3 linked regions of the Coturnix japonica genome follow. The protein of the gene in region 2 interacts with the protein of the main gene of each other region in a pairwise test. Links are inferred from orthologs where the notes say so. Each region holds a gene or a part of one and is shown on either strand. Other genes may lie near its edges. The genes, in order: ATXN1, SUPT20H and MAPK14.

The links.
Region 1: the proteins of SUPT20H (region 2) and ATXN1 interact in binary tests that used the Homo sapiens proteins (3 or more experiments, as listed by UniProt). The link is inferred for Coturnix japonica from reciprocal best matches to the Homo sapiens genes SUPT20H and ATXN1.
Region 3: the proteins of SUPT20H (region 2) and MAPK14 interact in binary tests that used the Homo sapiens proteins (3 or more experiments, as listed by UniProt). The link is inferred for Coturnix japonica from reciprocal best matches to the Homo sapiens genes SUPT20H and MAPK14.

The regions. Positions count from the first base shown.
Region 1 is NC_029517.1:67,238,647-67,242,959, forward strand, and holds the start of ATXN1 (ataxin-1), read left to right. Parts: upstream 1-1,494; 5' UTR 1,495-1,834; intron 1,835-2,364; exon of another isoform or gene 2,365-2,608; intron 2,609-2,639; exon of another isoform or gene 2,640-3,111; intron 3,112-4,313. UniProt on the Homo sapiens protein: Chromatin-binding factor that repress Notch signaling in the absence of Notch intracellular domain by acting as a CBF1 corepressor. Binds to the HEY promoter and might assist, along with NCOR2, RBPJ-mediated repression. Binds RNA in vitro.
Region 2 is NC_029516.1:154,070,781-154,074,305, reverse strand, and holds part of SUPT20H (transcription factor SPT20 homolog), read right to left. Parts: intron 3,395-3,525; coding exon 3,323-3,394; intron 2,479-3,322; coding exon 2,321-2,478; intron 725-2,320; coding exon 692-724; intron 1-691. UniProt on the Homo sapiens protein: Required for MAP kinase p38 (MAPK11, MAPK12, MAPK13 and/or MAPK14) activation during gastrulation.
Region 3 is NC_029541.1:520,324-524,589, reverse strand, and holds the start of MAPK14 (mitogen-activated protein kinase 14), read right to left. Parts: upstream 2,806-4,266; 5' UTR 2,677-2,805; coding exon 2,561-2,676; intron 1-2,560. UniProt on the Homo sapiens protein: Serine/threonine kinase which acts as an essential component of the MAP kinase signal transduction pathway.

The sequences.
Region 1 (4,313 bases), on a different chromosome or scaffold from region 2:
CGTCATTTCCAGCTGTCTCCAGCCTCTGCCTCTCTGCCACGGTTCCTTTTGTTAAATCAATGAACCTTGCATTAGCTGGGTGAGGATATTTTTGCTGTCTGCCACATGGCTGTGGATGCACCATCTCGTTGCTGAGTGGCACGGGCATCCAGACATCCGGGCCTGCTGCTGTCCCCAGAGTGCTCTGAAACAGGCATTCACTTTGGGTTATGTAGCAAACCTGATCTGGAGAGGTAGAAGTTGCACTGTTAAAATATGCTTGTGCTCATAAAGCCGGTCTATAAGACAGTACCAACTCTCAGTCATGAGCTGTGCAGATTACCATGTTGTTAGCACATTCTCTAGGAAATATAGAGGACGAGTACAGTCATTCATAGAAGGGACTGCTTTGCTGATCTGCATACTGACAGAGCCCTAGGGTCTTTTGCATCCAGACTAACGCTAGATCCAATGCTGAAACACAGCGGTACTACCTGTGGACACACACGTGACACATCGGCACTACAGACATCTGCTCGGAGCTCACAGCTGTGCTGGGGGGGGGGGATTGGAAGAGGCTCAAACAACAGCCCGCTCTGGGCAGCCACGGCACAGGGAGCGCACGTGCTGCTCTCGGAGCCCTTCTGGAGCTGAGACCCAGCCTTGGGGGTTTATGCAGCATTTCGTGTGGTGACTTTGGGATGGGGAGAGGCTTTCCCGGCGCCGTGCGTGCCTTCCTGATGCCAAAGCAGAGCGAGCGGTTCCCTGCGCGGCAGTCGGGTTGCCAGCAAGCAGAGCAGACGCCGTCCCGTGCCTGTGTTCCTCCCATTCATTTATTCGGGGAGAGGCGGGCAGTGGTCTGCGCGCAGCCGGGAGAGACGAGCGAGGATTGTGCCGGAGCGCGTACGAGGAGCGCAGCGGGAGCGAGTACCCAAACATGCGTGGTGCAGCCCTGCCCGCCTCGTAGTGCGGCGACGGAATGAGTCAGAGCCTCTTTGGTCTGAATGAAGTGGAAGGTACTCTCTACAAAGCAACTCGAGCATACGCCAAGGATCCGGAAAAATAAAACTAATTCAGAAAACGGGAGTGGGATGCGGGCTCCTGCGCTACGACGCTTTGAACGGCAAAACGCAATATGGCATCTTAAATAAAATCACCCTCCCCTGACTCTCACGGCGCTGCCTCCGAGCCGTCCCTGGCTCGGGTTTATTTCCTCCCTTAGCGACAGCCCGGCCGAGGCCGCCGCTCCCGCATCCTGGCCCCGCTCTGCTCCCCCCGCTGGGCAGCGCGTCCCTCCCGGTGCCCGCCGGTGCGTCCCTCAGCACAGCGGGCGTCGGGGCGAGGAACGGCCGGGCTGGGGGGGTAAAAAGGGGGGAGGAGGAGGAGGGCGGCTCGGCCCCGGGCGGCCTCCAAAGGGTTAAGGCCGGCGGCCCCGGCGGTGCTGAGCGTATGCAATAATCTGTGTGGCTCTCTTGGCCGCCCGCCAGAGTGCTGCCTTGCCTCCTCCTCCTCCTCCTCCTCCCCCCCGCCCCCCCCTTTCGCGTGAAGTAGGATCCTTGAGCTGTTGCAGAGGCAGCCAACTGCTCCATATTTGGCTTCTATTACACATTTACATACTGGAGAGCGGAGCGGCAGCGAGCGCTGTACTGCAGACATCATTTCTACTACAGCGCCGGAGCAGCCCGGAGCGTGTCCCCGCGGGGGAAGGAGCCCTCACTTACACACACATACACACGCACACATATACACACACACACACACATACACACCCGCAGACCCCCACCCCGGGAGGACGGCGGTGCTCGAGTCTCAGTCCGACCCCCCCCGCCAGCCCCACCTCCACTGACACTTTACAGTAAGTGCCTTTTTCTTCCTCCTCTGCTTTCTGCCCCTCCACCCCCCCCGCTCCTCCTCCTCCTCCCCCGGCTTCTCCCCTTGTTTGGGCTGCGGAGCCGCCCGCGGTTCCCGGCTGGAAAAACACGGGGCTGGGGGCGGCTCTGTGCGTGTATATGTGTGTATGTGTGTGTGTGTATATGTGTGTGTGTGTGTGTATATGTGTGTGCGGGGGGGCAGCGCTGCGGCCCGGCCTCAGGGCCCGGCCCGGGCGGGGGCCGCGACATGGCCGAGGGCAGCGGCCTGGGCCCGGGGCCGGGGCTCGCACGGCCCTCCCGCTCCTCCTCCTCCTCCTTCCTTCTCCCTCACCCCGCCGGCAGGGTGGACATTTTGCGAGCGGCGGCCTCGGGGTGTGTGTTTGTAGCCGGGTGTGTATGTGTAGATGTGTGTGTGTGTGTGTGTGTGTGTGTGGCGGTGCGGTGCGTGACGGGGTGGTGACACGGCCCCTCCGTGTGTGTGTGTGTGTGTGTGTGTGTGTGGGAGAGAGGAGGGGGGGGGCCGCGGCCGGGCCGCACGGCGCATGTAGTAGGGGCTGGGCGGCCGCTGAGGGTGAATGAAGCGAGCGGGCGGCGGAGGAGGCGGCGCTGGGACGGGGATGTGGCCGGCGGCCGCCCCGCGCCGCTGCTGTCGGGGCCCAGGCCGCCTGCGGACAACGCCCGGTACCGCCGCCGGGGGAGCGCGGGCGGGAGGGCCGCGGGGCAGCGCCACTTTAACCCCGGCCGGAGCTCGGGGTCGGGTCGGTGTCGTTCGCTATTACCCCACCCCCACCCCGGTAGGGACGCGGACGCCGCGATCCGCGAGCGCGATTCCTGGGGGTATCGAAGTCTCAATTAAACGCGCTGCGAAACGTCAGCGCCCGCTGTAATAGCGATAAGAACGCGACGGAGCGGGGAGCGCAGAGGAGGAATTACCGAGCGGCACTGACGGAGGAGCAAACAAGTCGGAAGCCGTTATATAATGCGGGGAGCGGCGGCTGGTTGGGCGCCGCTGACCGCACGGAGCGCAGCGCCGGGCCGAGCCGTGTGGGGGGACATCCCGCTCGGTGCCGGGCGCCGCGGGCTGTTTGTCCGTCCGTCCGTGCGTGCGGCGGCGCAATGAGGGCTTTTAATTTCGGTTTCGAGCCCTTCCGCGGCGGTGCGGGCCCGGGCCCTTCACGCAGCCCTTCGGAGACCGCCCGGCCCCGCTCCGCCGAACGATGAGAGAGCGCTGCTATGGCAACAGACAGCCCCGGCCGCTCAGGTGTGCGCGCCGTGAGCCCCGCCGCCTCCGTGCGGGGTGCGGGGACAGGGACGGGGGGAGGCACCGCACAGCGGCTCCGTCAGGGCGCTGCGGGAGCACGGAAACTTTGCCGCTGCTCCTCGCACCCAGCCCGGCTCCGTAGGGCCGGGAATTGTTGGTACCGCTGGGAACGTGAGCAAGGAGCTGTGCGCTGAGGGGCAGCCGGCTTCCTTTGCCCTCGGTGAACAAACCCGAGGGGGCATATCGTATAAACATCGCCACGCGGCTCGTTGCTGATATTCCGATTGATACCACTTTGCGTTTGTGCTCGTTAACATACAGCAGAGAGCGAAACTTTCCGCCCCGTACGGCGTGTTGCCGTGTTGGAGCGGGCAGTGCGGCTCCTGCCCTCCCGGAGCAGCTCATGCCGGCCCTTCCCCTCGTTGCCCGCACACGGGCGCAGGCGTCGCTTCGTGCAGGCACCGAATGTGGCGCTGAGTCGTAATGCCGCGGGCCTGGAGCGGCTCCAGGGGCTGCTTGAGAGCCGCGCACACCGTGTGTATATCTGGGGTAGCTCCGCTCGTTGGACTCCGGCCAGGCGCAGAGCAGAGTAGCAGAGCTCAGGCGCTGATCCGCTGCCTGCAGCCATCGTTTTCCCAATATCTTACCACGGCAAAAAGCAACGTGGGATTTTTTTTGCCCCCTGGAGGTGCCGCGTTAGCCACGTGCGTCCACGCTGCTACGGAGCGCAGCCCGGAGCACTTCGCATCTCGGCGGTGAGAAGCTGCCGGCACCGTGAAGCACACACACAATCACAGCATCACAGAATGACCCGGGTTGGAAGGGACCTCAAGGATCATGTAGTTCCAACCCCCTGCCTGGCAGGGCCACCAAACATACACATTTACTAGATCAGGAGCACCGGAGCTCCCCGGCAGCCCCTGGGCAGTGCACGGTGCCGGCAACTTCTCACCGCATCTCTTCTCCCTGCCCTGCTGTGATTTACTCGGAGAGGCTGAAGGAACCGGTCTTTTATTGTAAGAGACATTTACAAGAGGCCTGGAATTGCACTTAACGAACATTTTTATGTAATAGATCCAGTGGCCTAGTTTCATCTTAATTAAGAAAATAGACGTTAGATGCGCTCACCTGAAAAGCAACTGATTGAAACATTAGGATGCGAAAGTATTGGTCTCAGAGCAAAATGAAGGGCTGATCCTTCC
Region 2 (3,525 bases):
AGGTCTCTGATGAACACCCTAAGAGCTCACTAAGAATGGCAACTGCTTACACTGGACCAGACTGATGCATTACTTTCACAAATATCCCACTAGTTTTGGTTTTGTTGCTCTTTTTGTAATGTTTTTATACAAAATATTGAAGATTAAAATAAGTTTTGTTACATTTGTACGTTAGCTATCATATATGTTTTACAAGGGCTGCTCTGAAAGTAATACTTCTATTGTTGGCCCATGACATCAGAGGCAGATGTTGGTGGTATTGCAGTAGAGGCTAAACCTTCTCATTGATATTCCACTGTATTTCCTTGCTGTGTGACAGATGGCAGAAGGGCAAGTCTGACAGAACAGTGTCTGACATGGAAATTTTTGTTAGAGCTCTCGGAATTTTATCATTACTTGAGTGATTGAGAATAACCATGCAAACAACGAACAACATGATTGAATCTTTAGGTATTGGGACAAGCCATATTGCACACTTGTTTTCCTCTCTATTTCCTTGCTCATTAAATGTGGGAACTGCAGGCTATCTCCTACTAATTCTCATAGTAATTAATTCTTATTTTGTTTATCTGTTCTGCACGTTTCCAGAAATACAACATAAACAGTCATAATGGCAAGAAAGAACGAAATGAATTATTTGGCATCAAGTCAGCTGGTTGTATACACAATATCTGTTGTACGTGCAATTTACCTTTCAGCATCAGTCTTGGAACCAATCAGGAATCTGAAATGTAAAAAGGTAAGAAACATTTTAAGTGCTGAACTGCATGAAAAGAGTATGATTTTTATAATTATGAACCCTGAAAGAATATCGATGCTATTCTCTTTTTAGACTCTCAGACACAAGAGATACTTTACTTATTTGATGGACTGGGTATTATTTGGTACTTGGCATAAAAACTTAGCTTTGTAACCATGGGTACAACACTCATATGCTGTCTAATACAGATGCCTTCAAATTACTCACAAAGTAAAAGGTAGAATATAGAACTTTTTTTCTTTAAAAGAAATGGAAGCGAGTAACTACTACAGCATTGCTTCTGTGAAAACAATAAATGAACATACCAACCTGGAAATACAGAAATACCCATATAGCACTTTTGTCTGTATGTCAAAACCAGACCTATCTGTAGGAATTCAACCTTTGGTTTCCATTATTTGATTTCACATGTCCAAATTTCAGTTTCCCACCATTTTCCAAAATCAAGCTTTTTTCTTTAGTTTAATGCTTCTGGTTTGCAAACTACCTTTCAGCTCTGTTACTGTTTCAATTTAAGAAAAAAAACAACTCCTCCTCCTCACTCCTACTGTTATTATACAATTGCAAACTAGATCTGTTGTTCTAAGTAGATCAGTATTAAGTACAGAAAGAGAAGAACCTTAGATTTTAACAAAAAGAGCTGTATATAGGAATTATATACCTGACAACGATAAAAATCCTTCTTTTTAAATTAACCTGAAGTTTACACAGACTAACTGCTCCCTGCCTACTCTGCTGCACAGGTTTCTCCATGCAAAGTCGTGTCACATACAACAAGAAGAACTAAGAATTGAGAGCCTTTTTAAGAACTGAAGCCAACAATAGCAGGTTCAAACCAGTATTACAAAGAGGACTAAACTTTGGGAGCTCATGTTTACTGCCTTCATTTGTTTAGCCTTAATTAGGTAAATGTAATCACAGAATCATAGACTTGCTCAGGTTGGAAAAGACCTTAAAGATCATCAAGTCCAACCACAATCTAACCATACTACCCTAACAACTCTACACTAAATCATGTCCCTGATCACCACATCCAAAAACAGGGATGGTGACTCAACCACCTCCCTGGGGAGCCAGTTCCAACCTTAACAAGCCTTTCTGTAAAGAAGTTTTTCCTGATATCCAACCTTAAGTTACCCTGGCACAACTTAAAGCCATTTCACCTCATCCTATCACCAAGTCTTATGTTTTCACAGCATCTGGCAGATTTCATCACAATGATCAAAACTGTGATAGCCATTGTGAAATACACGCTAACCACGTCTGGCAGCATGAGAAGAAGGATTTTCTCAACAGGGGATTTTTCTTAAAACATACCTTTAACACACAAGAACATTCAGACTTACTAAAAAAGAACATTTAACATATGATGTTAATAGAAGCTTTTTTTTCCTCCTCATATTTTTTTAAATGAGGTTTATTAACTGAAATATTCAAAACAAAAAAAACTCTTGAATCAGATTTTTAGATCCTAAATGCTCTCATGCCAGAAAACGTTAAGTAGTGTTTGTTGCCTCTCATTTGCTGGATCATAGCACAGATTAAAAGAACACAACTTACTGTGGTGGAACTAATAAGCTGTCACTCTCATCATCACCTTTGAGTGTCTGGATTTTACCGTAGTACAACGGATTGCCAAGAGACTGAAAAATGGTCAGCTTTGTTTTTTGCAGCTGATTACCAACTTCACATTCAAACACATAATCATCTTTTACTTCCTAGAAGACAGGAAAGAAAAAAAAAAGATCAAATAAATATTACAAAAACAGTAGCAAAAGAGAGCCAGTAAAATAAGCCAGTCCTATGCAATACAAAAGATAAACAAATTATGAGAAGGGATGTTTGTGCTAAAACAAAATTTAGGAGGAAAAAGAGGAAAATAATAAATATCATAACATTAAAGCAATGATGTCAGATGTTGTACAGATGACTGGGTATATGTATGTACAATGTATTATAAAAACAGCAGCAGTGCAAAAACAAGAATTCTAAATAAAATGGCAGAGATGAAAGTGAAGCTCTATAAGGAAGTTTTACTGTTTCCTGCCATGAGACTGAAAAGGCATTTGATAGATGCTGTTAATTAGAAAGAATTAATGAACTGATTTGCTAGTAATTATGTTAAAATGAACTTTCTTTATCAAATCATGCAATTTGCACCAAATTTTAAGGCTTAACTTCAACATAACAGAAAGGGCTTTTTGTAAGAGGTATTTAATATTACATAATCTCTTTTGAAACAGCATCTGCATGAAGAAAGTGATTTGGTGACTGGAGTACTGCTCCCTGTAAATTCTTATGTTTGTTTACTATACAGTGACAGCACCTTTAACCTTTGGAGGTTAAAATTGCTTTCCATTGTGTTTCTGGTAAACCTGAGGAAATTACAACACTAATCATATGTATGAGGTTGTGTATAAAACTACAAGTTTCTGTAATAATGTTTCCAAATGTGTAGCACGTTAGGTTAATTACATTGGTTAGTAATCATTAGACTTTATTGAAATAAGGGACATATTAAATAGGAACAGAAGAGCTTGGCCAAAGACCTAAATTACTCACGTGTGCTGGCCAAACAGTTGGTTGCGAGTCATCAGGCTTGATAGAACTTTCCACTTTGGCATATTTTTCCACCTTAAAATGGAGATAGAAAAAAAGCCCAGAAACAAAAATAACCCCAAACCAATGATCATACTGGGCCTGAGTTAATGTCAGCCTAGCATAGTTTCCTCTTTTGGAGTGGATAACACTAAAGCCTTCAAAAA
Region 3 (4,266 bases), on a different chromosome or scaffold from region 2:
TTGCCTTCACATTTTATAAGCTAATTGCAACAAGCATCAGAGCACCCATTTGCTTACAAAGGGTGAACTAATGCTGCCTGCAGACACCAGCAGCTGCCAACCCCCTGCTGAACCACAACTCACTGCTCACCCATCCCAGGCAGCCCAGCAGCTCCCACTGCAAGATGCTGCACCAACCCCTCTCTCACACACAGTATGCAGGACTGACATTTCAGTAACCCGCATGTTTTAGTGCAGACCTTGTTACTGATTTAGACAGAATTCTTGTAATGCAGAAGACTTAGATGAATACGCAAAACTCCGGCAAGAAGGCATTATCACTTCACACAACAGATGTCACTGCAATTGTTAACATGGCTTAGTGATGAATGATCTGAGAGTCCATATAGACATTTCTCGGCATTTTAGCACCAAAGCCCTACTTTAATTTCCACATATTTTCAGTTAAAAAAAAACAAAACAAAAAAACTGAAAAATACCTGAGCTGGCTGTTTGAACATCCTCACCGTGCACCAGAAGACACAAGAACACTTACTCCAACACTAAGGACACGCTCTGGCTGCCTGCATAGAACAACATTCTCCATCCACTGACTGCAAAAACTTCAGTCAGGACTTTCTACCACGGTGCTCCAAGTTGAGATGGACATTTAAAGCAGACTGCAGCAGACACTGCACAGTCTAATTGATTCATTTGCAGGCTTAATTCTTTTGTTAATTTTTCCTCCACTTTCTAGAAAGTCCCCCTTTTTATATCTCTCATCTGGACACCTAAATAAAGTGTATCATTATGTTCTAATCTAACAGTGCTGTAGACATACAGGAGTGTATTTATGCACTCTGTTTAAGGCTGATTAAAGCCCTGCAGTTCGCTGTCCCAAAACAGAGGGCACTTCAAACTCCAAGTCTGAAACAAAGACAGGAACATCTTCCCAGAGCAGGAGAAGGAAGAGGGAAGAATCTCTCTAAAGGAAAAGAGTGGAACAAGCCATGCTAGGAATGCCCTCAATGCCACACATCACTGTCTGGAGCTTTACATTACGAAGTTAATTATACATGCACACTATTACTTGTCTGTCTGAGCAGTACTTCTTCAGAAAGATGTTTTTGGTAGGACACAAAGAAAACCCTGAAAAAAGCTATGCTAAGATGCACATGCCGTACATCTGAAATTGCTTCCAAAGCAGAGCTGATCCATCCAGGCCGAACACAGTTGCACAATCTTTGAAAGTTCGGAGGCAGCATTACAGGAAATTCATGATGCAAAGTCTTCAGTAATTGGTTGTGAAAACAAACATTGGAAGCATTAAGTACACAACAGACCATGGGTAGGTGGAGAACAGAAGAGGAACGGGCTGCATGCACTGCATAAGGCCGGCCTGAATACAGCAGATATGGAGTAAATCCACTTCCTATTGCACCGAGGGAGTTATGTAACCACAGCAGCTAAAGGGGCATTTATCAGCTGGGGCACTGAGCCCTTTCTTTCACCAGAACTAAACCCTTTAATTATTAAAAAACTGACTAAATCAGAAGATATACTGGCTACCCGTGGTACTGTAACTGGTTAGGCTCTGTCTTCTATGACATACAAGCATTTACATACTTGGGACACGGCAGTTTTAAGAAACGTGTTATTTCAGCAGAGGTTCCTGACAGCAGAACAGGAGAGAACTTGACTTCTTTAAAACTGCAGCACACACAAAGCAACTCCTTTTTCTGATAGAGGTCAGCATGCATTGCTCCTTAAAATATAAATGACAGTCATGGTATAAACTTGTACATTATGTTAACGAAAAAAATAGGCACGCCTGCTCCGAGACAGAAGCAGAACAGATGTACAGTTGTTACACACCCGTATGAGAACTCGGATCACACTGACAGAGCAAAAAACATCGTTTAGCAGCCTATGCTGCTATATAAACCTCTAAGCGACTGCTCAAGTCGGAACGTCAATCCAGACACAACCTCATCTTTACGATTAAGCGATGTCATCAGCCCCACTGATTTACATTTCACGATCCAATACATTTTTGCAGAGAAATCCCAAGCGGTGCACGCGATGCAACGAGGCAAGCATTAAAAACCGAGCACAGCTCCGAGCTCTCCTTATTCCCGCACGCTGACCCCAGGCTTTGCTCCTGCAGGCAGCGCACGCCGCGCTCACCGCACACAGCCGCTAAAATGGCTCTTGCAGCCCCTGCCAGGCGTCGGGGACGCAGCAGCTCCCTGCAGCCCCCGGCTCATAATCCATCCTCCGGGTCGAGAAGGAAACTGAGCCAGCAGAGCTCTGCGGAGCTCGGGGCCTTGCCAGCCCGCATCCTCTCCACCCCCACCTCCCAACTGCGAGAAGGCACCGCGAAATATGCCCAAATGAGATCACGCCGGGGGCTGGGACGCGATTATCTTCCCCTGCAAAAATGTCCCGGTGCCACCTGCCCTATGCTGCAATGCTCGGGGCTGCCGGCTGCGGCGGAGGGAGAACGGCGCGGAGCGGCGCCCGGGGCCGAGCGGTGCCCGGGGAAGAACCCGGCCCGGAGTCACCCCCAGCCGCCACTCACCAGACGGAGCCGTAGGCCCCGGACCCGACCGGGGAGAGGTTTTGGTAGCGCTCGGGCACCTCCCACACCGTCTTGTTGAGCTCCTGGCGGTAAAACTTGGGCCGCTCCTGAGACATCTCGGCTGCGGAGCCCACCCCGCCCGGCCCGGCGGGAGGGGGCGGCGGTGCCCGCGGCTGCGGCAGCACCTCCAGCTGCAGCAGCAGAGCTCCCTCCCTCCTTCCCTCCCTCCCTCCTTCCTTCCTTCCTCCTCCCCTCCCTTCTTCCTTCCTCCCTTCTCCCCGCCTCGCTCCTCCCACGCCGCCCCTTCACACCGCCCTCTCCTCACACCGACCGTTGGCCGCCGCCCCGCGCCCCCCCGCCTCACGTTGCCCGGGCCCAGCCCTCGCGCGGGGCGGTTGCTCCTTCCCCGGTCCCCTCCTCTCAGCCGCCGCCTCCCCCTCCCCGCACACACAGCTCTCCCTTTCTCTCTCCCTCCGCACGGCGAGGGGTGGGTTGCCCTGTCAGGTGAGGGAGGGATCGGCCGATAGGGAAGGCCGGGGGGAGGCACTCGGCCGCAGGTAGGACGGCAAAGACGAGGCCCCGGCCCCGTCCCGCCCCCAGCGGAGCAGCTCGGGCTGGGCCGACCCGGCCGCTCCGCCTCCCCGCTCCCCACTGCGGCCCTAGGGTTCAGTCCAGACGTTCTCGCGAGAGTTGAGGCGCCGTGGGCAGAGATGCCCCAATATGGAGGCAATGCGGAGCGGCGCGGAGGGGCTCTCGCGAGAACGGGCCGAGGCGAGAGGCGGGCTCGCTGCGTTCAAGTGTTCCACGAGTGCGGTGTGTGAGGGGGTTGTGCTCACGCAGGGAGATGTCACGGCGCCACAGTCCGTGTGCCGTTTTCGCGAGGCTTTGTCTTGTCACCTTGACGCTGTACTTTAAGCAAAATATGCACATTGATGAGAACGATGACCTAAGGCAGCAGGCCTGGGCTGAACTGCCACAGCCCTCAGTAAGGCCAAGCCCCGTTCCCTCTGGGGGTCTCACAGAGCTTGGGGAGCTGAGCTGGTACAGCTGGAACTCAAGTTTCTTTTTAACTTTTTTTGTTGTGTTACCTTCACTTGAAAAAAGGTGATTTTGCTCAAACAGCAGCTTGTACTGGGTGTGCAGAGCTCATGAACAAAACGTCTCTTAAACTCTGGAAGGCCTTTGTGTATCTCCTTTTTAAAAAGAGGAACAAACCATTCACTAGGAATCGAACGTGCCTGCGGGCTGCCTGCTGCTGTTAGAATGACTGGGCTGTGTGTGCTGGTGGCTGTGCCTGGAGGCTGCCAGGCTCCTCTATTAGAAGTGGTGTATCTCAGTGATGTGAAACGCCAGACTTGTACAAAGGGATCCCAACCATTCAGGAAACATATTTATTTATTTCCCTCCAGGTTTTGTTACTTATACTGCGTTTTGATGACTTTCTGCTCACTTACTGCCTTTTCATGCTTCTCATTTTCCTTTTTTTCCCTCTGTCAATAGCTAAAAACTGCCTTTCTGCATGGCATGGCCTTTTTCCTATGCTGTCTCTGTACTTTCAGTTGGTAACTCTGGATTTGAGTTTTCTTTCTACCTCAGCTGTCAGTATGAGAACTTTGGATTAGATCTGCTCTTTCACTGGACTTCTTACTCAATATTCACTTTGGGAACTTACATCTTACCTAATCTGAGCAGTAGTGACTGAATTC